Linked DNA regions of Mus musculus. The protein of the gene in region 4 interacts with the protein of the main gene of each other region in a biochemical or structural test. Links are inferred from orthologs where the notes say so. Each region holds a gene or a part of one and is shown on either strand. Other genes may lie near its edges. The genes, in order: Cdk2, Chek1, Plk3, Cdc25c, Cdk1, Chek2 and Mark3.

Region 1 (2,306 bases), on a different chromosome or scaffold from region 4:
AATTCATACAAGGTTGCCTGGACAGATACTAGGCCAGGAAAACTGGTTGCTGTATTGTCTAAATATCTCAGATTTTCCAGGAAGGTCCCAAATCTGGGGATTTAGTATTACACTACTGGATAGACAGATGGCTTAATAGTTAGGAGCATATAATCTTGCAGATGACCTGAGTTAAGTTTCCAGAGCCCGTGTCTGGCAGTTTGCAGTCACCCCTAACTCCAGCTCCAAGGCATCAGACACTTTCTTCTGGCTTCTGAGGGCACTGCACAGTTGTGGACACCTACATAGACGTGCATATATGCACGTTATTGGAATAAAAAAATAATAAATCCCCCCCCCCCCTTTTTTTTTTTTTAAGCTTTTCGAGACAGGATTTCTCTGCGTAGCCCTGGCTGTCCTGGAACTCACCCTGTAGACCAGGCTGACCTTGAACTCAGAAATCCGCTTGCCTGCGTCTGCCTCCCAAGTGCTGGGATGAAAGGCGTGTGCCACCACTGCCTGGCAATAAAACCCTTTTTAAAAAGAAGCTGAAGGTAGCAGGGTTTTGTTGAACTGAGGTATGTGACCCTGCCTGCCTTGTAAGCCCTGTTGTCTTCTTGTTCCCCAGGTGGTGACCCTGTGGTACCGAGCACCTGAAATTCTTCTGGGCTGCAAGTACTACTCCACAGCCGTGGATATCTGGAGCCTGGGCTGCATCTTTGCTGAAATGGTATGGAGGCTTGCCAGGTTCTATGCTGCCCACCCATGCCCACATCCAAGAGCAAAACCTTTCTGGAAAAGGGTTTTCCGGGAATCATGGACCTTTTATCACAGGGTTCTCTCAAGTATCACCACTATGGAGGTGGTTGCCCCGATACCAACTACAATTTTGGAATATTCGTAAACACAAGTTATCTAATATATATATATATATCTTATCCCCTGAGTGAGCTCAATCCATTCTGTTACCTATTCCGCCATTTTGTTTTTTGTTCTGTTTTTGAGATACTCTCATTCTGTAGCCCAGACTGGCTTTGTATTCTTGATCCTTTGCTTCGGCTCCACTTTCCACCATTACCATCTCGCCCATGGGACTGACTTGACAGGCATGAGCCACCCTGCTGGCTCCACTCATTCAGCTGTTTCAGCCTTAATCCTCAAATATTTGGAAGAATGAATTCCATTTAGTACAACAGGTGGCCTACAGACCACGTGCTTCCAATGATAGCTGTGAACGTGGTCTCAACACAAAGTCATAAACTTATTTAAAACAGAGTGGGTTTTGTTTTGTGAGTGATAGGGTTTTGTTTTGTTTTGTTGCTTTTGATTGGTTTGGGTTGGTTTGCTTGTTTGGTTTGTTTGTTTTTGTTTTTACAAGACAAGGTTTCTCTGTGTAGCCCTGGCTGTCCTGGAACTTATTTCGTAGACCAGGCTGGCCTCAAACTGAAAGATCTACCTGCCTCTGCCTTCCAAGGGCTGAGTTAAATTAGGTGTGCGCCCAGCTTTGGTTTTTTAACATTTGATTTAATAGTATTTGAGCTTGAACATTGTGGATGAGAATGTCATGTCACAGTGTCAAGGGTTGGGCAGGTCTGTTTTGTTCCCTTTTGTCCTATAGACCTCTTATTCGAAACAAGGAATTTAGTAAAGGCAAGTGGTCTAACTGACCCATGCCTATTGGTTTTGTAGACTTGGTCATGCCCTGCCCCTCAACCTCTGGCTTTTCAGACTGAAGGATCCCTTAAGCCTAGCCTCATATGGGAGCTCCCATTCCATTTAATACAACAATGGGTAGACAGATGAGAAATATTTTTATGGTCCTTTGGGTTGAAACTGGGGACTTGGAGACCATTAGCCTAGATATAGGTATACATATAGAATGTGAATTTATCCACCAGTACCTTACAATTGCCCATATTCCTCTCTCAATTCATCAAAAAAATATTTGTTAAGCACCTAGTGTGTACCCAGCACCATGCTAAGTGCTGTGGGGAACACAGAAGAAATGGAAGACACAGTCTCTGCCCGCTGTGCTCCTATCTAGAAGTGGCTGCATCACAAGGAGGGGGGATGACCGCAGTGTCTGCCCCACACCCCGTGAGTGGCTTGGGATCCCTTTGCTATGCGTCAGGGGCACCCCAGACAGTCACCCCCTCCCAGCCCCACCCAGCCTCGGGAATCTATGAAGCCACGGTTGGGGGAAGGAAGGAGGGGCGAGGAGACAGATAAGGGACTTCATTGTCTCAAGCTCTGTATGACCGACCCCATGATAAGCCCTGGGGAGGGGAGTCATGGGCCCTGCTGCCCTTTCACTGCCTATGGGAACC
Region 2 (3,500 bases), on a different chromosome or scaffold from region 4:
AGGAAATATATATTAATTTTAAAAGGAACTCGTACAATCCCCAACATCACAACATCAAAAACATAATCCAGGGGGGTGGTGAGATGGCTCGGCAGTTAAGCTCAGAACCACCTATAAAGGGATCTGATGCCCTCTTCTGGCAATGTAGGTGTACATACAGAAGAGCACTCCTACATTTAAAAAACAAAAATCATACATAAATCAATTCTTTTAAACCAGGAATGAAAAGTGACTCAGCTTTTAGTCCCAGCTTTCAGAAGGATTGCCACAGTCAGGTCCAGCCTGAGATTCAGGCCAGCATGGGCCAACACAGACCTTGTCTCCCAAAACAGACAAGCGTGCTAGCATCTGAAGGTGGAGTCTGGAAAACCAAAATCATCCTCTCCTACACAACTGAGCTCAGGGTCAGCCTGGGCTAAACAAGACCGTTTCAAAATCAAAGCCAACAACAATCAAACATAAAAATTAACCCACAGAAACACCAAATGAGAATGCAAATAATTTTACAAAAAAAAAAAAAAAAAAAAAAAAAAGAGTAGAAAAGACCTTTCTAATAAGCATGACAATGTAAGTCAAAAGCCAAAAATGACAAGAATTTAGGTATGAAAAACTCAAAACATCTGCACATTAAAATAGCCAGCAAAATTAAATAATAAACTCTAGGAAATACTGCAACAAACGTTATATACATTAATGCGTTATGAAAAGACCCTCAAAGGATTAAGAAAAACTATAAACTTCTTTGCTCAAACAGAGCAAAATTTAAAAAGCTTTAAAAAACAGTCTTATTGGTTTAAAAAATTCATTTTTGCCATGCATAGTGGTGTACTTAATGCCAGTATTCACTAGGCAGAGGCAGACCAATATCTCTGAATATGAAAGTCAGCCTGGTCGATTATATATATAGTAAGTTCCATGCCAGCCTGATCTACATAGTAAGTTCCAGACCACCCAAGGATACAATGAAACCCAGTGTTTCAAAATACAGCAAAAAAGTAACATGAATAAATGACAAAATGGTACAAATTTAAAAAGTAAATTTGTAAAATAAGGGGCAACACTTAAAAGGGGAAATACATAGTCTCTTAGCCCTCCAGTCTTGCTTGTGGGAGAAGAAAAAACTTTAATCAAATAAAGGATACACAAGCATCAAGTAACATGGACACTTATCATACTTCTTCTATAAAAGTAAAATTAAGGAGAAACCTAAATCTCTAAATTGAAAGAGTAAAATATATCCACATAATGAGTACCATCAGTCTTTAAAAATATGATCCAGGCCCATAATTAAAGATGTGGAAAAATGCTGAGCATCACAACTAAAGAGTTATGAAATAGGATTTACCTTTTGCAAAAGCATATACTTATAACTAATATACATACAGTATACATTTGATATATAGATTTTTTAAAAATATTTTTAAAAGTGTATTTCCAAATGCCACAATTATAGAGTTGTTCCCTCCCTCCTTTCCTCCCTTCCTCCCTCTTGACTTACATTTTCTAAGGTAGTTAAAAGGACTACAGAGAAGAAGAAGGAAGAAAAAAGTCAGAAAAGAAGGAGGAGGAGGAAGAAAAGAAGGAGAAGGGGGGGAGAGAGTTAAGAAAAAAATCAACTACCATGACACTATTACCCACAGGATCAATACTTTCAAACAACCCAGTTAGTTACCCAGAGGAGCAGAATCAATTTTTTTCCAAGGATTGAGATAGGTTTTTTTTTCTTTCCAATCAGAATATTCCTGACAGCTATCACTGGGCTGGTCCCACGGCAATTCTAAAAATAAAACAAGTTACAGTTTTTGAGTGTTCATAAAGTTACGTAACAAATATGTCAAGAAAAATAAGCACATAAAAGGAAAATGAACAACATAAAAAGAATACAATTTTTCTCCACAGTAATTCAATATGGTTTTCATGCTAAGTTTCATAGAAACTTACTCTTTTCAAAGGTATCATATTAAAGATGGAGATACAACTTAGTGACAGAATTCTTGCCTGTCAGGTATTGGGCCCTGGGTTTAATCTCCAACAACCCCAAAGGAAGTGTTGAGATTTTTTAATTTAATGGTTATACTTCATGAAAATAAACCTCTGGGTTATAAGTTTCAAGGTAGTTAAGAATAAGATATAAAGTATAATGGGTTAAAAGTTTATTTCCCACTACAGTTTATACCAAAATCTCAACCCCCAAGATAATGAATGTGAGAGCTTATTTGGAGGATCTAGCAGGGAATCAAAGCTACTCAATACACCGAAGGCTAACCCTCTTCTATCCAGGAAAAGTTGTCCTCTTCAACTGAGCCCACATCAGCCTCACCAGGCAAATCAACCAAATCAAACCAAGATCACTGTTTGCAGCCAGATCACTCACTCCCATTCCCAGTGTGATGATTCTGGAGGTGGGGCCTTTGTGGGGTGACTGGGTCATGAGTATGAAAGCCCTCAAAAGTGGGATTTGGGTCCTTATGAAGACACTAAAGAGTCTGTCTCTCCTCTCAGTAAGGTGGTCAACTGTAAGGCAGGAAGAGAGAGGGCCCTCAGAAAATGACCATGCTGGCAACTTCACCACCCAGACTTCAAGCCTTCAAGTTCTATATGAAATAAATCTGTATATAACACACTCACCGAACGGTACTTAGTACCTATCGCCCTAGGCGATGAGTTAAACACTAACATAAAACTATTAAAGAGCTGGAAAGATGCACCACGATTAAAGGCTGGGCTCACAACCTTTTCTATTACAGAATTAAGATTCCCTAGGGTTATTTAATCTTTATTATTTTGGTATGAGAAATCTGACTTTTTGGAGAAAAGAAGTTTTCTCATGATTATATATCCTTACCTCCAGCCAACATTGCAGTAAGTACTATTCCACAGGACCAAACATCAACTGGTTCTGCATGAAATTCTTTTCTCTTTAGAAGCTCCGGAGCAACATAAGGTAAAGTCCCACACATCTTGTTCAGTAAGCGTTCACGATTATTATGCCGAAATACCGTTGCCAAGCCAAAGTCAGAGATTTTGAGGTTATCTAAACCAAAAGAAAAAGAGACAACTTTGGAGTAAAAGATTTGCAAATATATATACACATATATAAATTACTGGAAGTAACACTGGTTTTGCTTAGGGCTTATAGAACTTTTCTACCTGAAAATGAGCAAAAGAAATCTATGTATGTCATAGGCTGGTCTGAACCCCCACCCCCACCCCCACCCCCTCCAGCACATATGTTGCTGCCTTGTAGGGCTGCCTCAGTAGGAGAGGATGTGCCTAGTCCTGTAGAGACTTGATGCCCCAGGGTGGAGGGATAACGGAGGAAGAACCCTCTCAGAGGGGAGGGGGAGGGGGGAAGGGAGGAAGAACTCTTCAAGGGGGTACAGGGAAGGGGCAACACTTGAGATGTAAATAAGTAAAATAATTAATACAAAATAAAACTATGTATATGGAAAAGAAGAAAAAGTAAAAGGCATCGTCATTTATACTCAACTTAGCAAAGA
Region 3 (2,809 bases), on a different chromosome or scaffold from region 4:
CTTTTCGCGCCGCAACTCACTGGCGGGACCCTTAGTGGGTCCTGGAGGTCGACGACCATCCCTGGGCCCAGTGCCCCCTCTAGGTTCACGAGTTAGTTTTTCTGGGCTGCCCCTGATGCTTCCCCGTAGGATGGCACCCTCATACCGCTTAGAACCGGCGCCTGGGGAACACTGGGAAGCTGCAGGTGCCCAGCGGGCCCTGGAGGCAGCACTGACCACACAGCTGAACGGTGTGTGCTACTGCGGTTCTGAGGCAGGGAAACTGGTGCAGGCACTATGTGAACAGATACACACCCGCGTGAGGGAGCTCAACCTACCCCGCTACAAACTCGTGTGCAACGTGGTGCTGGGGCCACGCGAGGGACAGGGTGTGCATGTGGTCAGCCGAGCACTCTGGGATGCGGTGCACGATGGACTGGCCTCTGCCACCTTCACCAACCCTTCTCTGTTTGCTGTGGCTACCGTCCACGCGGTCTACTGGGAATGATAAGGCCTTCAAGTTCTGAAAAAACGGTTTATTACCCCAGGAGGAGGCCCCCCTGGGGCTCACATCCCAATAAATAAATGTCTGTTAATAAATAAAAGTGGTCCATAAATAATGCCCCCTAGCTGGGAGCTAAGGCTCAGGCTTATCTCAGAGAGAAGGGTAAGATTCAGGGAGGGCAGGCCATCCCCGACTGTAGTAAAGCTGGTCCCTGATTCCCTGGGGGGATTCAGCCAGGAGCCCCCAGTGAGGCACCAAAGGGACAGGAAGGGCCACAAAGGCAAGGCCCTGAAGCCTTTCAGGCTCAGGCCCAGGATCTGGATCACAGCCCGCTCTCCGAGTTGGAACCTAAGCAGGGCTTTGGTCCCTGAGCAGGCGCAGAGCGTAGCGCAGTCGCTGCCGCAAGTCTGGGGAGCAGCCCAGCTGCCGGAGGTGGGAAGCGAGGTAAGTACAAGCACTGCGATTGCGGGCCACGAAGGTCACAAGGAGAGGCTCCCAGCCACTGAGGATCAGCTTCGTGTGGTCCCCGTAGAAGTTCACCTGTACACAGAAGATAACAGCGATCAGGACTTGGACACCAGATCCACATTCCTTCCCAGAACCCTGGGATACCAGACCTTCCACCAAAGCACAGGGTAGGCTCTTACCTGGACAGTGCCATCACTGAACAGCATGAGGAGGGCCTGGTCAGTCTTGACCCACTGCAGCAGCAAGGGTGGGGCAGGCACCTCCGCCTCTTCCACACTGGGCAGATCTCCACCCTGGGAGAAGAGGCAAGTCAGGCCCCTGGACTGGCATGAGCTGGGTCTCTCCCTATGGATGCCCCCTTCCCTTACAGGTTCAGCCACTAGCTTTTTTTTTTCCCTAAAAGCCACTAGCTTTTTAAATTAATTTATTTATTTTATGTATATATGAGTGCACTGTCACTGTCTTTAGACACACCAGAAAAGGACATCAGATCCCATTACAGAATTACAGATGGTTGTGAGCTACCATGTGGTTGCTGGGAATTGAACTCAGGATCTGAGGGGCAGCCAGTGCTCTTAACTGCTGAGCCATCTCTCCAGCCCCACTTTTTTTTTTTTACACAATTTATTTATTTTATGTATGTGAGTGCACTGTAGCTGTCTTCAGACACATCAAAAAGAAAGCATTGGATCCCATTACAGATGGTTGTGCACCATGTGGTTGCTGGGATTTGAACTCAGGACTTCCGGAAGTGAAGTCCATGCTCTTAGCCGCTGGGCCATCTCCCCAGCCCTCAGCCACTACCTTTGAGCCACCCCTGCCCCCTAAAGTGCCCCCACCGCAGCCTACACACCTTCATGAGGTGCTGTTCCATGTAGGACGCAAAATACCGCAGGATGCCCAGCTGAGGCTGCAGAGCTCGGGGCACAGAACCCATGGAGAAGGAGAAGTGCTTCGTGCTGGTGGGGTTGTAGTGCACCGTCCTGAAAGTGGGAACGTAGAGAGGAGGAGGAGGAACCCGGCACCACCATTCTTCCCCAGACCCCTAAGCACAGAAACACACACCACGGTGCAACCCTGCTGGTATTGTGGTACCCAGCAAGCCTAATTACAAAGCACGCCAAAACAGCACTTACTTCCTATTGGCTGACAGGGCCATGTGTGTGCCATCATTGAAGAGCACGGCTACACGGCGGCTGGACAGCTGATAGCCAAAGCCAAACTTGTTGGAGTAGTCAACCCACTTGCTGACCCACACCAGAGGCTCTGGCTGTGCCAGCGGGGCTGGGTTCTGTTCGGCTGTTAAGAGGAGAGGAGGGAAATGAAGACTCCCCCAACCCCCCTCCCCCCCACCGCCTCTGGACTTGCAAACTATTCATATGCACCAGAGTCCAGCCTTACCTGGGGGCATGAAGGCCACACAGTTTCTCAGTGCACAGAGGGCAGACTCTACCACTGTGGCCACAGTCAAACCTTCTTCAAACCCTGAAGGGAATAGGGCACTGACATTTAGGCAAGAGCCACCCTGGGCCCAGTTCACCCTCAGCCAACTACTTCCTTCAGCCCCTGGTCTCTACCTCAGCAGCCCCTAGCACCTCTCATCTTGTGGCTCCTCACCATCTCCACTGCTGGCCAGTGTCCCACGGGGCGAGCTGTCCTCGGCAGCTGTCTCTACCAAGCTGGCAGGGGCCTGGCCTGAAACTACAGGAGCCTGGACAGTTGGGGAGAGAGGGAATAAAATTAGGCCCCAAAATCCAAATCCTTGAAAGTCCAATGGCCCAGCCCTGTCCCTGGCGGCTCTCAGGGCACCCCAGGTCAGCCTCAGCTGGCTAATGAGACACAGCCAATTAGGCCACC
Region 4 (3,500 bases):
ATATCACGTCTGATCAAACTATGAATAACTCTCCTGAAACACAGAAACGTAATCACTAAATCATATCTGAAGATACAGATAATGCTGTGGATTTGATGTCTGACACACAGATTTGCTTTGGAGGATTTTATCATCATAAGCAAAAGGACAGGGGATGAAAGAAAGCTTGCTTGGGAAGGGATCTGCAATTTTATTTGTAGGTATTTATTATTTTTAAAGTGTATTTAATTTATGTATATGAGTGTTTTGTCTGCATAGATATGTGTGTTACACGTGCCCCTGGTACCTGCAGAGGCCAGAAGGCACTCGATCCCCTGGAACTGGACTTACAGATGAGATGGGTGTGGAGCTGCCATGTGGGTGTTGGCAACTCTGGAAAAGCAGTAAGTGCTTTTAACCACTGAACCACCTCTGTAGTCCTGGACTGTGAGATTTTAAAGAGTGATTTACAAGGGGAGATTAAAACGGCAATAATAGGAATAGAAAGATGACTCAGCTAGCAAAGGTACTCAGCGCAAGGCCTGACAATTTGTGTTCGAGCCCTGGAACTGAGGCGGCCTAAGAAACAGAAGGAACAAACTGACTTCTATAAGTTGTCCTTTGACCTCTACGGGCACATGAGCACACAAACACACACACAGATACACAGACACAGACACAGACACAGACACACATACACACATAATAAATAAATACAGAAAAAAAAATTAAGGGGCAGAGGTAGTAGTAATTTTCAAAAGATGATTATAAACACCTAAAACCAGGCATATCTTCTCTAGTATAAGGAAAGAATAAAAGCATAGTGGGGACTAGAGATAGGGCTCCGTGGTTAAGAGCACTTAGAGAGGACTCAGGTTCAATTCTCAGCACCCACATGGTGGCCAAGAACCACCTGCAACTCCAGTTGCAGAAAATCTAACCACCCTTCCAGCTCTGTGGGCACTGCACTAATGTGGTGCACACACACACACACACAGGCAAAACACTCACGCCCATAAAATAAAAACAAATGAATCTGAAAGAAAAGAGACTAGAATAGCCACTTTAGCATGTACACCGATCTAGCTGAAGGGATGGAAGACACAGAAGACGGCTAGAAAAGCAGTGTAGATGGACGGATTAAAGAATCATCGTAGTAAGTGGTCAGTAAGGCTTATATAAAAAGGACCATAGTGTCCTCAAGAGTTTATCTAAGGAGAAATCAGAAAAAATTAATATGAGCCTGCTAGTAGTGCACAGTTAATCCCACCTAAGAGACTGACATGGGACCTCAAGTTCAAGGTCATAACTTAATGAAATTCTGTCTCAAAGAAAAAAAAAGGCCAAAGGAGGCCAGACACTGAATGTAATTGTCCAGTGACAGAGTGTTTGCTCAGGATACCTGAGGCCTTTCATGCAATCCCTAATACCGAAAGAATGAAAGACGAAAGTTTAGCCTACTGGTGCAGGTCTGTAATCCTAGCTACTTGGAAAGCCTGCATAACTGGACCCTGTATTTTTTTTCTTTAATTTATTTATTGTTACTTAATGTAAATTGGTGTTTTGCCCGCAAGTATGTCTATGTGAGGTTGTGAATTATAGACAGTTTTGAGTTCCCATGTGGTTGCTGGGAATTGAACCCAGGTCTTCTAGAAGAGCAGCCAGTGCTCTTAACCGCTGTGCCATCTCTCCAGTCCCATGGACTCTATCTTAAAAACAGCACACAAAAAGTGAGCTGTAGGCTGCTGCTTGCCTGGCATGCACTAGGGCTGTATACTGCTCCATCCTCAGGAATCCAAGACAAGGCAGGGGTATAGCTCAATGACATGAAAGAGCTGTTTGAACAATGACTACACCCAATCCTTAGCAATAAAAGTGCAAAAAAAAAAAAAAAAAAAAAAAAAAAAAACCCACAAAGAATTTATGAACAAATTATGTTATGTATGTTCTTACAAAGTAAAATTATTTAGGGCTAGCGTTCAGTGGTAAACAGTGCTTGCTGGGAAAGAAGCCTAAAGTCCTGAATTCCAGCCCTGGACCCATGTGAAAAGGCAAAAACTGACTTCCAGCAGTCCATTACAGGAACCTACACTCACACACTGTTTGTGATGCTCTCCAAACAGTTATTTTCAGGATAGCAGCAGCAACTTGAGATCTAAACCAACAAACTGAACAGAGCTGACAGTTCCCAGTTTAGGAAGTAACACTCACATTTTCTTTATGTGCAGATGTGCTACGCTTTGCAATCTTCTTTCTGTGGCCATGATTCATAGCATTCGGAGTACTACAAAGAAGCTGTACCTAAAAGACAGACATGTCTACAGAAAGCATCCAACAGCTACAGCCACACGGCTGTGTGGAACCCTCTGCCATCCACCTGAGAGACAAACCAAAGTCAGGAAGGAAAATCTAGGCTTGGTGGCACATGGCTTCCGTCTCAGTGTTCAACGGCTGCACCAGCCCAGGTAGCTAAACACAGTTAAGAGGCCCTCTCTTAACAGAAAGACAAAGAGAAAGGAAGAGAGGGATGGAGGGAGGGAGGAAAGGAGGGAGGGAGCAGAGGAGGGAGGGAGGGAAAGGGATGGAGGTCTACTTACTGGGATACCTTTCATAAGGTCCTGGTGAAAATCCCTGAAGAGTAAACAAAAACAAGCACTAATCAGCTAATCCCCATACTCAGTTTGGTTCTTCAGTGGTTGGGGCACCCCAGTTTCTTCTGTTCAAGGGGCCCTAGTCTTTGCGATTCTATGTATCTTCTAACAATATTCAGGGTACTAGATATCCAAGACTTAGTGGTGTCCTGGGGGGAAGGCCCTCAATTCACTAGCATAACTATACAAGATAAACATGCACCAAATGGGAGTTTGTCTTCTGTTCAAATTTTAGTGCTAGGGATGGAACCTAGAGCCTTGTACAAGCCAGGTAAACATTCTACCACCAAAGGGCACCCCCCACTCCTGGCTTACTTTTTTTTTTTTTTTTAATTTCTTCTTCCCTCTCAAATTTCTACCTAGTGTGTACAAAATAGGCTATTTAAGGTTTGAAAGAGTTGCATTCAAATCAGTTTTTACTCTCTGTATACCCACTAGCTAACTATTTTAGAATCTCCAGGAGAGACTCCACAGTGGTTGTAACAACAAACAAAATGTTTCGTATGAGCTAGATACATGTTTTGTTTTTCTTCTTTTTTTTTGGGGGGAGGGGGGGTAGGGTGGGGATAGAGGTGGGAGGTGGTATTAAGATAGGGTCTCACACAGCCCAGGCTGGCCTCAGGCTTTTTATGTACCTAAGGCTGGCCTTGACCTTCTGACTCTCATGCCTCTCCCATCTGAGTCCTGAGATTACAAATGTAAACCATGTTACCTGGGTCTGTTTGGAGTATGTTTTTATTTTTGGTTTGGGTGGTGTTTTGTTTTGTTTGAGACAATGTCTCATATAGGCCAGCCTCTCATTTTTATCTAATCTTTGCAATAGCTGTTCTTAATAAGCACTTTTGTTACCTCATATGAATAAAGAAAATA
Region 5 (3,500 bases), on a different chromosome or scaffold from region 4:
TGTTAGCTTTCTGTGCAGAAGTTTCCTCAGCACTCGTGTCAACTGTTTCTATCCTGAATAAAGCTGTGCTTTTCCATTTCTGTCACTTTACACGTGCATTTCCTCTTTTGAGACAACAGGAAAATATGTAAAACAGCTTAAACTGGGAATGTGTAAAAGTTTGTTCGTAACCTACTTCTCTAGTGTGTGCATGCCCACACATGTGCACTCTTCAATGTAGGTACCCGAGTGACAGGCAGATATTTCTCATTAAACCTGAAGTTCACCATTTTGATCAAAATGGATGGCCCTGGGACACAACAGAGCCATCCCACCCGCAGCCCCTGCCTCTGTCCTTCAGCCTCTGGGCTTATAGATGTCCACACCACCTCACCACCTCCATGTGGAGCCACACCACCACCTCACCACCTCCATGTGGAGCCTGGGAACCAGAGCTCAGCTCCTCGTGCTTGTGCCATAAGCACTTTCCCTCTGAAATGTCCCCAAGCCTTCCAATCCTAAAGCCAAAGGAATCTTTCCCTATCCATAACTTAAGAAAAGTTAGGAGATAGGAGAGAGCAGAAAAATATTGACATTATTCTAAAACATTTGATCTTATACATTATGGCTTTAACAAAACAACAAAAAAATCATTAAGAATACTCTGCTGGAGAGTTTTATGTCAACTTGACAGAAGCTAGAGTTATTGGAGAGGAAGCTTCAACTGAGAAAATGCCTCCTTAAGTACAGGTTGTAAGCAAGCTTGTAAGGCATTTTCTTAATTAGTAATCGCTGGGAGAGGGCCCAGCTCATCATGGGTGGTGCCATCCCTGGACTGGTGGCCCTGGGCTCTCCACAGCCTCTGAATCAGCTCCTGCCCCCAAGTTCCTGGCCAGGAGCTCCTGTCCTGACTTCCTGGGGTGATGAGCAGTTACATGCAAGTGTAAGCCAAACGGCCACTTTCCTCCTCAAGTTGCTTGCTGAGGCCATAGCCTTCATCTCAGCAATAGCCATACAGTGTGAGCACTGGCAGTGGTGGGCACCACTAGCAAGTCACCGTGTGTTAGTAATAATGACTTTTGAAACCACTGAAATACAGAAAGATGAGTGAATATGTACAGGTTATGCAAAAATGAGTAAACACAATAGTATGTTAAATGTCAAATAGAATAACTGTAATAAAACCCTTCCCATAATACACTGAGACTATTTAAAAGTTACATACAGTCAAGTCTTGGTAACAATGTAATAAAATAGTAATTGATTTTTAGAGGACCTATCAACCATGATCTTAAATATAAACACAGATTTTATCACAGTTCCAAGAAGCCACCTCTAAAATGACATAAAGTGGTGGGTGTGGTGGCACATGCTTATAATGCCCACACTTGGGAGATGGCGGCTTGAGGATGAGAGTTCAAGGCCAGCCTGGGCTGCAGAATGAACCTCCACCACCACTCATGACGACTCACTGCAGCCATCACTAAAGTAGGAAGTAATCTAAGTGGAAATGGTTTACTAGCTGTACAAAGTATTAAACCACTACGAAACAGAGACATGAGAGGCTAACTAACGTGTGCAGTGCACATACAGAAGGATCCCACTGGGTTTAGATGCATACAAAGTCAACGTGAACATCTCAAGGCATGCACAGAGTTCAGTGGAAAAATAAAGCCGGTTTAAGGTGAAGACCCCTTTACCATAGACATTTACAACCTATACCCATTTGCTGAGAATAACACTTGCCCAATTATACACAATGCCCTGGATCCAATACCCGGTACCACACACAAAGAACAATAAATACAATTATAATTTAACTGAAATACAATGTTTACATTAACCAAAGCCTACTTGTCAGAGTAAGACCACTTAGCATCAGCACCGGGCTCAGGCTGCTGTCGCTGATCTGCACATAACCACTGTAGCCTGGCCTGCCCCCAGCAATGTGATACATAAGCCACAGGGTAGCACTTAGGTGCTCAGACGCTACTTCTCACTTCTAGAACCTTCTGGAAATGAGACAGGCAGATGATGATCTCATCCGGTGGAAGGAAGGAAAATAAAATGCTGTCTCTTCCCTTACAGGTTTTCTAAGATGCAGCCACAAAACGCAAGGATGGAGCCCACGTTCAGAGAGCGTATTAGTAAAAGCACGCAACTCTTTACCTTAACGAGTGAAGAATCCATGAACTGCCCAGGAGGGATGGAGTCCAGGTACTTCTTGAGGTCCATGGACAGGAACTCAAAGATGAGATACAGCCTGGAGTCCTGCATGAGCACATCCTGCAGGCTGAGCAGAGCAAGCGTGAGTCCAGCCAGCAGCCTGCCTCCACTTCCAACAGCATAACTGCTAACAGTGACCTTCACTCTCAAGTAGAACTTGAGGACGGAAGTTCAGGACAGTAGTCCACAGCCTCCTCTGCAGGAGGAGCTAGCTCACACCGCCTGCACTCCTAAAGCTGGCTGCTCGAGAAGATTAAAGCTGCTCCCTAGTGCCAGCCCCAGTGCAACAACAGTTAGAACCCAGGGGCAGAGGCAGGTCACGCCAGCTACCAGAGGTGCTAAGTAAGGCAAGGATCTCTAGATGCAAAGGATGGAGTGAGCACAAGGTCACCCTGGGTAATTCTGTGAGTGCTGGAGACTGGGTGCGGTGGTTTAAACCCATAATCCCGGCACTTGGGAGCTAGAGGACAGCAGTAAATTCCAGGCCAACCTGGGTGAGCTAGAGTAATATCCTGTCTTAATAATTTCAAAACCCCATATTAGGAGGCCAGAGGCTACAGCTCAGTGGTAGAGCACTTTCTTAGCTCTACCCAAAGGCCTGGGTTCAGTCCCTCCTACCAACAGAAATTCTAATGAACCACCAGACAACGTCCTCAATGACCCAGCCCAAGCAAGTCAATAAAGCATAGCTTATCTACCTCAGCCTGGCCCCTGGTCTCAGGAGCCTCTGGGGACCTGGGCCCTAAAAGTAGGAGCTAAGCAAGCTCCCCATGGAAGGGGTCCCAGGGCTGTGCCTTGCTCCTCTAGCCAATTCTAGCACCCTGTCTCAAATTCTCCAAACACCATCAGCAAAGCAGGACTCCATCCCACTTGAACCAGAAAGTACATAAAAATTTCTACTTTAAAACAGATGTGCAGCAGCACAGGGAGAGTGGCTTCAGTTCTAACACAGCACACCTGACTATATTTGGATGTCGAAGTTCTTTTAATAGAGAGATTTCCCGAATTGCAGTACTGGGCACTCCTTCTTCCTCGCTTTCAAGTCTGATCTTCTTCATGGCCACTATCTGGCCAGTGACTCTGTGTCTACCCTTATACACCACACCGTAAGTACCTGAAAGAAAGCAAAGAGATTTTCTTCTAAGTTGAACTCTTTGAGTATCACACGAGAGAAATGCCAGCTGCAGTCAGATAGGCCCCTCACATCATTAAACCCTCACTGCTTTCAAAAAGGCATTGAAGATAACTACGATCTAACATATACATGGTTTGGAAATAAAGCCCACTGAGTCATC
Region 6 (4,300 bases), on a different chromosome or scaffold from region 4:
GGGGTTTTTTTGTTTTGTTTTGTTTTGTTTTTCTGAGACAGAGTCCCTCTGTGTAGCCCTAGCAATCCTGGAACTCCCAGGCTACCCTCAAACTCAGAGCTCACTTTGCCTCTGCTTCCTTTTACTACCACATCTGGGCTAATCCAGATCTCTTGAGGTGGGAAGATCCACCTTTAAGCTGGACCACACCTTCTGCTGGCAGCCTATATAATGGGCATGAAAAAAGGAAGCTTTGCCAGTTTGATCTCGCTCTTACTGGCAAGTTCATTCCTTCACTGAGCACTAGTGAGCATACTTTTTTTTTAATTTATTATATGTAAATACATGGTAGTTGTCTTCAGATACCCCAAAAGAGGGTGTCAGATCTCATTACAGATGGTTGCAAGCCACCATGGTTGCTGGGATTTGAACTCAGGACCTTTGGAAGAGCAGTCAGTGCTCTTAACCACTGAGCCATCTCTCCAACCCCCTAGAGCATACTTCTACAAGATAGTAATGTATACTAAAGACCAACTAAGACATCCTGCCTGGATTCTTACTGGATTCTTACACCTCCCCTGGGTAGCCATTGTTGAATTAGCTGGACCATAGCATGTAAGCCACTCTAATTAGTCCCTATATATACATACATACATACTCATTCTATCAGTTCTGTTCCTCTAGAGAACCCTGACTAATACAAGTATCTTTCAAAACTGTCTCAGAATGAGCTAGGTCTCCACATTCAAATGAATAAATTTGAACCACATATGGTCGATATGTGTAATCCCAACTGAGACAAGATCAATGCAAGTTCAAGGCCCCAAGGAACTACACTGTGAGTTCCAAGCCCACCTGGGCTGCAGAATTCCTTGTCTCACAAACAAACTAGTAGAGCCTGATAAAAATGTGTGCCTATAAACCCAGCACTTAGGAAGTAGAGGCAGGAAGATCAAAAGTTCACAGCCAGGCTGAGCTACATAGTGAGTTCAAGGCTAACTCAGGCTACAATAGAATCTTTTTTCTGAAGAAAAAAGAAAAATTTGAGGCTAGCCTATGAAATTTAGCAAGATTCTATTTAAAAATAAAAATAAGGTAGCCAGGGATAGGACCTTGGATGTAGTTCAATGTAAGAGCTCTCTACTATGTGTAAGGCCTAAATCTGATCTTCAGTATGAACAGGGCCACCAGGAGGAGATAAACTCTACCACAGGGGCCCTGAGACTTCTGCTGCAACAACCTAACCACCTTCTTTTTTTTTTTCCTAACCACCTTCTTTAACTGTTTCTCTGAACACACACTATATCATATAACAAAGTGCCTTACCTAGATTGGAGAATCCATCCTGAAGAGCCCATAGCCGAGCCCAAGGGGCAGGACCAGGTTCTTCAGGTTCTTGGTCCTCAGGAATAGAACAGAGTTCCTGGGTAGACACTGTCTCCAGCGAGCTCAGAGTCCCAGAACTGGAGTGCGAGGACTGGCTGGAGGACGGCACTGTGCCGGTAGAGGAGCTGGACGAACCCTGATACTGTGAGAGCTCGTGCAACTGAGAAGGAGTGCCTTGGGGCTGGCTGAAGCCACCCTGGGACTGTGAACAGGAAGCACTGTCATGAGCCTTCGAGGAGGTGCTGCTGTGGGACTGATGATGACTCTTCATATCCGACCTCGAAAACAAGAGTCCAACAATAAGGAACAAGGCTCTGGATTCGAGAGTGGAGAAGGGGAGGGAGCAGGAGAGGACTCGGCAGGAAAGTGCACATACTATTCTTGCAGAACCCAAGTTTCCCTACGTTCTCAGCACCAAATCTGGCAGCTCGAGGTTTCCTATAACTCCAAAGTCAGTGGCTCTGTAGTGGATCTTGGCCTCTGCAATCACCAGAGCTCACACTTGCACTTTCCCACACAGATAACATAATTAAAAGTAAAGTAAATCTCTACCCAAAATTAGTCATGTGGCTGCTATAACTCAATGGTAGATGGTTCATCACTTCTCCAACAGAAGCAAAGTACTGGATCCCACTCCCAGTATTGTCAAACATACAAAATGAAGACAGTTAAGGAGTCAAGAGTACAGTTCCCAGCACCCACATCCAAAAGATCACAAACACCTGTAATTCCAGCTCTTGGTGATACAATGCCCTCTATTGGCCCCCGTGCGCACTGCACAGACTTAGACACGTGATTAAAAAAAATACATAAAGAAATTTAAAGGAACGGGCACATTATGACCACCTCAAAATGAAAGACAGGCCCATTCATGAGTGGGGAGAAAAAAAAGTGACCATAGCAAAATCCCAGGATTATGAATAGAATTCCAGAGGCCACTTACAAAGCATTACACCATCTTCCTTCATGTACAGAAGCTGAGAATGGCTTGGTTGTCTCCTATCCATTCCTTGCCATCCTACCCCTCACGTATGCTGAGTATGCAGACGTACCCTCTTCAGTTCCTGCAGAGCCTAGCAGCGAAGATCGGGTTCTCAGTAGGTATTTGGGGAAAGCCATCTAGGGGCTGGCATGAACATTTATAATGTTCGTTATGAAAACTACTTCGCTCTGGCAACGAACAGCCCGGCGTTGTGCCTTCCTATGTGCCCAGACCTGTTTCAGCTCACAAGGAACAAGGAAAGTGAACTTCCCCCCCGCTTCCCCCCCGCGCGCCCCAAGGGCAGATAAAAAGGAAGAATTGACTATGCACAGCGCCCCCTCGCTCGCACAAGAAAGCAGACAAAGCGGAAGCTGCAGAGGGCCCATTTGCACAAGAAGCATGAGAACGGTATTCGACTCCTCAAACACTTAAAGTTTCCCACTTATGACTCACCGCGTGAGACCACCAGGAGCCGCAAACACTGCACAGCCTCCGCCAGTGGAGTGGCGCTAAACCTACGGATACAAACTCCACCCTCAACCAATCAAAAAGCCTTCCTCCCCGGCAGGACCAGTAAGAAAGCCCGAAGATGACTGCCGCGATTAGTCTCAAGGCTTGCTGGGAGTTGTAGTTTAACATGCAGAACGGGACTCGACGTCTTGGTTTCCCGCGGCTAATCCCGCCTCCTCGACTCCCTTAACCAATCAGCAGCGAGACGGTCTTTCCTCCTTTCCCTCGGGTCTTGCTACCTAGGTCAGCGAGCGGCCGTCCCAATGTGGGGATGCGGAGCCCGTGCCCTGCTGGGTGTGTGGGAGGTGCGGCTGGCAGGGTTCCTGGGAAGGAGACTTTTGGGCAGCAATGCCGCCGCGGGGAAGAGCATTGCACCGCAGTGCTGGAACTGCGGTCACGCAAGGGAAGTCGGGTGTGGGGATGAGTTCTTCTGCTCACACTGCCGCGCTCTGCAGCCTCCTGACCCCACTCGTGACTACTTCAGCCTCATGAACTGGTACGGGCGGCGCGTCGTGACGGGAAAGCAGCTCGGGCTTCGTAACCCGAGCGATCTAGGCTTGGGGCCGCGTCTGCGGGGCTGTAATTTCCAGCCAGCTTGGGGGGGTCTGAGGCTGAGGACCACAGTTCAAAGCCATCTTAGGCAATTTGCCGAGACTGATTCAAAACAACTACAAAGATGGATAAGTGTAGGCCATAGGTATAAGTAGTACCTAGTGAGATTTTAGGAGTTTTCCTGAGACGGAGAGGAAATAAAGTTACAGACTGGAGAGAAGATAAGGGTGGAGGCGGGGGTCAAACAGGAGTGAAGTTGCAGATGCCTGTCTGTGATCTAAGCACTTGTAAAGTGGAAAACACAGGTTCAGGAATTCAAGACTAGCAGTAGCTACAAGGACCTTGTTTTTAAACATCAACAAACAGAAACGGACAAGTTTACGGTATAGGGAGGTTTGAGGGCTGAGACTTCTGGAAAATCCATTGGCCAAACTTACAGGAACTGGGAGAGGTTTTTGTTTGTTTGTTTGTTTGTTTTTTAATTTAGCCTCACCTTGAAGTCTCGCCTGGCCTGCCTGGAATTCCACCAACCCCCTCTGCCTCACCAATGCCAGGATTAAAAGCATGCTAGACAACCGTAGGAGATGATACCCCACTTGGAGGCCAACCACACAAATAGGGAACATCTCATCGCAAATAAATTATTTATTTAACGGAGAAAATAAATACAAAACAAGCCAGGTGTGTTGGTGTTATGCCTGTGAGTCCAGCACTCAGAGGGTACAGCTGAGCCTGTACGTTTGATGAGACTCTGGGCTACATGAGACTAGGTCTCAAAAACCGAAAGCAATTAAGAACAAAACAAACCTAGTGTAGTAGCCTATGTCTAAAATCCCAGTGTTCAGTAGGCTGAAGGAAAAGGGTCAAAAGTGGGAACCCAACATAGGCTAA
Region 7 (3,500 bases), on a different chromosome or scaffold from region 4:
GGTTGGTGTTGAAAATGAAGTTCAGGGGGCTGGTGAGATGGCTCAGCGGTTAAGAGAGCCGACTGCTCTTCCAAAGGTCCTGAGTTCAAATCCCAGCAACCACATGGTGGCTCACAACCATCTGTAACGAAATCTGATGCCATCTTCTGGAGTGTCTAAAGACAGCTACAGTGTATTTACATATCTTACTTAAATAAATAAATAAGAAAATGAAGTTCAGCCAGGCACGCCTTTAATTAATCCCAGCACTTGCGGGGCAGAGACAGGTGGATTTCTGAGTTCGAGGCCAGCCTGGTCTACAGAGTGAGTTCCAGGACAGCCAGAGCTACACAGAGAAACCCTGTCTTGAAAAACCAAAAACAAAAACCAAAAAAAAAAAAACAAAAACGAAAATAAAGCTCAGTTGATAGTGTTTACATAGCATGGGAGAGTCCCGAGTTGAGTTTTTGGCATCACATAAACTAGGTGTGGTGGTGGATAACCCTAATCATTGTGCTTGGAAGGTATAGGCAGGATGATCAAGGAGTTCAAGGTGAAGGGACTGGAGAAATGGGTCAGTAGTTTGAAGAGTCTTTGCCGAAGACCAGAATGTGGTTGCCAGCACCCCTCAGGTGAATAACAACCATCTGTAACTCTGGTTCCATGTGTACCGACTACCTGTGACATCTGCCAGTACTTGTACTCATAAGTAGACACATAATTAAAAATAACATAAATTGGGGCTAGAGAGTTATCTCAGAGCTTAAGAGCACTTGTTTCTTATCCAGAAGACACAGGTTCAATTCTTCCCATCATACAGATGGTGGTGGCTCAAAGCTTCCTGTAACTCCAGTTCCAGGAGATCTAATACCCTCTCTGATCACCATAGGCACTTTACACACGTGGTGCACAGACTTGCATGTAGGCAAAACACACACACACACACACACACACACAAACTTCAAGGACTGGAGAGATGGTTCAGTGGTTTAGGGCACAGACTGCTCTTGCAGGGGTCCTGAGTTCAATTCCTAGTAACCACTATATGGTGGCTCACAGCCGTCTGTCATGGTATCTGATGCCCTCTTCTGGTGTGTCTGAGACAGCCACAGTGTACAATCCAATGAATTGTAGTCCGTATATGCAATGGACTAGCACTCAAGCTTTAGGAGGAATGAAATGTTACCATCTGATGATAGCCGTTTAGATTGTTTCTACCTGTTAGACATAAAGAGTGACAGTGTAAATATTTGTATAAAATGTCTGTGGCCTAGAGTTCTCTGTTCTGTGTGTCTGTGTGCGGTGTATGCTTGTGCATACACTTGCCTGTGTGGATGAGGATGAAGGACCGAGGTTGACAGTGGAAGGAGGAGGAACCTCTGCCCCTGACGCTCACTGATTAGGTCAGACATCCTCATGCCTAGAGAGGTCGGAAGACAGCTTTGGAAAGATGTTTCTTTCTACCTGTGGGTCCTAGACGTTGAACCAAAATGGGGTCTCACTATGTAGTCCAGGGTAGCCTTGAACTCTTAGCAGTTCTCCTTCCTCAGCCTCAGAAGTGCTGGAATGACAGCTGTGACACTAAGGCTGGGTTTTAGGTTTTCATTTCTCCTGGGTTCCTAACTAGGGATGCAATTGTTGGCTTGTGTTGTAATTAGATCTAACTTTGAGGAACTGCCAACTGTTTGTTTTCAATTCTTTTCAGCAGTAAATGAGTTATCCTTCTGACTCCTATCCACACTTCTGTGTTTATCATGTGTGGTATATATACATGTATGTATTCCCGGGTGCACACGAGTGTACATGTGAAGGTCAGAGGTTACTCTCCAACTTGTGTTTGACACAGCACGGTGTCTTGCTAAACCTAGAACTCAGCTTGATTGGTTGGCCAGCAAGTCTGAGGCATCCACTGACTCCATCTATGCCCCCAGGATGTGCTTGCAAATGCACACTCACTCCATGCGTTCTACTACATGCGTTCTGGGCTGCTTGCATCTGAACTTGGGTCCTTCTCAGAAAGTGCCTTGCCCTTAAGGTCCTTATATTTTCATTTTTTATTGTAGCCATCCGTAGCAGGTTTGCAGTAATAGCTTATGGTTTGGAATTGCATTTACTTAATGACCAGCAGTCTTTTCATCATTTCCTCTGGAAGAGCAGCTAGTGAGTGCTCTTAACTGCTGAGCTCTCTTTAGTCCTGGTCCTTTATACTTTTTTGTTGTTGTTGTTCATACTTATTCTATGCTCGTCTGTTAATGTGTTGTCATGTTTTAATTTTAAGGAGACTGGAATGACGGCTCATTGGCTAAGAGTGCTTTCCGTTCTTGCAAGGGACCAAAGTTTAGTTCCCAATACCTACAATACCTATGGGTGTGAAGCTCACCACCACCCATAGTTCTAGCTCTAGAGGATCCAGTGCCCTCTTCTGGCATCCTCACGAACACACATATGTGTGCATGGACACTTTTTTATTTGTCTGTTTGTTTGTTTGTTTGTTTATAAACGACTATGTTAGTCTTGTAAAATGATTTAATGAATAAATTGCCTGCCACCCAAGTGTGAGTACCAGAGTTCAGGGCCTCAGCACCCACATAAAACCCAGATGGGTGTGGCCACTTGCCTATAGTCTCAATACTGTAAAGGCAGAGACAGGATGTCCCTTGGAAAAGCTGGCTAAATACTCCAGCCTCAGTCTGAGAGTTCTGAGTTCAGGTACCTCCTCAGTCAGTAGAGAATAATTCAGAAACAAAGCAGACACCAATCTCTACCCTCCAGGCACAGACAGCACCTCTCTTACAGGTTTTTTTTTATTTGCATAAATAGTGTTTAGTATATTTTTTTGTTTTTTGGGGTTTTTTTTCTGGTGGGGGAAGAGGGTGGTTCTTACTAAATTATACTTATCACCAAATAGTCCAAAGTAAAAATGCTCCTTTCTTACAGAGTAACACAGCATCTGGTGGGATGACACGGCGGAACACTTACGTTTGCAGCGAGAGATGTGCAGCAGACAGACATTCTGTGATTCAGAACGGCAAAGAAAACAGGTGTGAAATTTACCTATTGGCAAAAAGAGTTTTCTCCCAAAAGAAGTTAAAGTGTGTTACTTCTCACTTTTATAATCAATTTATAATTCAAATGGCTACCAATTATTCTTTTAAGGTAAGTAAACTTTAAATGTTAGTTTCTAGCAAGATATTAGGACTCCAGATTTCTCTCTTTGTCCAGAGCCTCTACCCCTATAATCAGCAGTTGTGACAAGGAGGAGTTAGGGTCAAAGCAGGGAGTTTCTGAAGGACCGATAGCATTTCCTGACCATGTTGACTAGGGGATGCTAACACTAACAGCTTAGAGAGAAAGAGAAGCAGGTGGGAGCCTGAGGTCAGGAGCCACACCCAGAATGAGAGCGCAGGGAAAGGTCAACAGCCTGCTCCCAGGTGCAGGTGGCCAGTGCCAGCGTAGTCTCCTCCTCAGACTCTAGGGGCACAGAGTCAGTCTGTCTTTGCAGTCCTTGAAATACTAGTGAA

The links.
Region 1: of the proteins of Cdc25c (region 4) and Cdk2, one has a biochemical effect on the other in vitro, tested with the Homo sapiens proteins (3 studies listed by BioGRID). The link is inferred for Mus musculus from reciprocal best matches to the Homo sapiens genes CDC25C and CDK2.
Region 2: of the proteins of Cdc25c (region 4) and Chek1, one has a biochemical effect on the other in vitro, tested with the Homo sapiens proteins (16 studies listed by BioGRID and IntAct, with this or other methods). The link is inferred for Mus musculus from reciprocal best matches to the Homo sapiens genes CDC25C and CHEK1.
Region 3: of the proteins of Cdc25c (region 4) and Plk3, one has a biochemical effect on the other in vitro, tested with the Homo sapiens proteins (2 studies listed by BioGRID, with this or other methods). The link is inferred for Mus musculus from reciprocal best matches to the Homo sapiens genes CDC25C and PLK3.
Region 5: the proteins of Cdc25c (region 4) and Cdk1 form a complex in vitro, tested with the Homo sapiens proteins (3 studies listed by BioGRID, with this or other methods). The link is inferred for Mus musculus from reciprocal best matches to the Homo sapiens genes CDC25C and CDK1.
Region 6: of the proteins of Cdc25c (region 4) and Chek2, one has a biochemical effect on the other in vitro, tested with the Homo sapiens proteins (14 studies listed by BioGRID). The link is inferred for Mus musculus from reciprocal best matches to the Homo sapiens genes CDC25C and CHEK2.
Region 7: of the proteins of Cdc25c (region 4) and Mark3, one has a biochemical effect on the other in vitro, tested with the Homo sapiens proteins (3 studies listed by BioGRID, with this or other methods). The link is inferred for Mus musculus from reciprocal best matches to the Homo sapiens genes CDC25C and MARK3.

What each region holds. Positions count from the first base shown.
Region 1 is NC_000076.6:128,699,746-128,702,051, reverse strand, and holds part of Cdk2 (cyclin-dependent kinase 2), read left to right. Parts: intron 1-607; coding exon 608-709; intron 710-1,932; coding exon 1,933-2,076; intron 2,077-2,306. UniProt on the Homo sapiens protein: Serine/threonine-protein kinase involved in the control of the cell cycle; essential for meiosis, but dispensable for mitosis. Phosphorylates CABLES1, CTNNB1, CDK2AP2, ERCC6, NBN, USP37, p53/TP53, NPM1, CDK7, RB1, BRCA2, MYC, NPAT, EZH2.
Region 2 is NC_000075.6:36,716,659-36,720,158, forward strand, and holds part of Chek1 (serine/threonine-protein kinase Chk1), read right to left. Parts: intron 3,035-3,500; coding exon 2,846-3,034; intron 1,778-2,845; coding exon 1,673-1,777; intron 1-1,672. UniProt on the Homo sapiens protein: Serine/threonine-protein kinase which is required for checkpoint-mediated cell cycle arrest and activation of DNA repair in response to the presence of DNA damage or unreplicated DNA.
Region 3 is NC_000070.6:117,128,155-117,130,963, forward strand, and holds the end of Plk3 (serine/threonine-protein kinase PLK3), read right to left. Parts: intron 2,664-2,809; coding exon 2,570-2,663; intron 2,438-2,569; coding exon 2,354-2,437; intron 2,252-2,353; coding exon 2,089-2,251; intron 1,936-2,088; coding exon 1,806-1,935; intron 1,246-1,805; coding exon 1,132-1,245; intron 1,025-1,131; coding exon 833-1,024; 3' UTR 501-832; downstream 1-500. Other genes in the region: Tctex1d4 (tctex1 domain-containing protein 4), read left to right, coding at 1-487. UniProt on the Homo sapiens protein: Serine/threonine-protein kinase involved in cell cycle regulation, response to stress and Golgi disassembly. Polo-like kinases act by binding and phosphorylating proteins that are already phosphorylated on a specific motif recognized by the POLO box domains.
Region 4 is NC_000084.6:34,745,034-34,748,533, forward strand, and holds part of Cdc25c (M-phase inducer phosphatase 3), read right to left. Parts: intron 2,611-3,500; coding exon 2,577-2,610; intron 2,281-2,576; coding exon 2,191-2,280; intron 1-2,190. UniProt on the Homo sapiens protein: Functions as a dosage-dependent inducer in mitotic control. Tyrosine protein phosphatase required for progression of the cell cycle. When phosphorylated, highly effective in activating G2 cells into prophase.
Region 5 is NC_000076.6:69,342,913-69,346,412, forward strand, and holds part of Cdk1 (cyclin-dependent kinase 1), read right to left. Parts: intron 3,320-3,500; coding exon 3,163-3,319; intron 2,273-3,162; coding exon 2,149-2,272; intron 1-2,148. UniProt on the Homo sapiens protein: Plays a key role in the control of the eukaryotic cell cycle by modulating the centrosome cycle as well as mitotic onset; promotes G2-M transition via association with multiple interphase cyclins.
Region 6 is NC_000071.6:110,838,549-110,842,848, reverse strand, and holds the start of Chek2 (serine/threonine-protein kinase Chk2), read right to left. Parts: upstream 2,801-4,300; intron 2,439-2,800; exon of another isoform or gene 2,309-2,438; intron 1,644-2,308; 5' UTR 1,637-1,643; coding exon 1,306-1,636; intron 1-1,305. Other genes in the region: iron-sulfur cluster co-chaperone protein HscB isoform 1 precursor, read left to right, coding at 3,121-3,353. UniProt on the Homo sapiens protein: Serine/threonine-protein kinase which is required for checkpoint-mediated cell cycle arrest, activation of DNA repair and apoptosis in response to the presence of DNA double-strand breaks.
Region 7 is NC_000078.6:111,637,021-111,640,520, forward strand, and holds part of Mark3 (MAP/microtubule affinity-regulating kinase 3), read left to right. Parts: intron 1-2,916; coding exon 2,917-3,020; intron 3,021-3,500. UniProt on the Homo sapiens protein: Serine/threonine-protein kinase. Involved in the specific phosphorylation of microtubule-associated proteins for MAP2 and MAP4. Phosphorylates the microtubule-associated protein MAPT/TAU. Phosphorylates CDC25C on 'Ser-216'.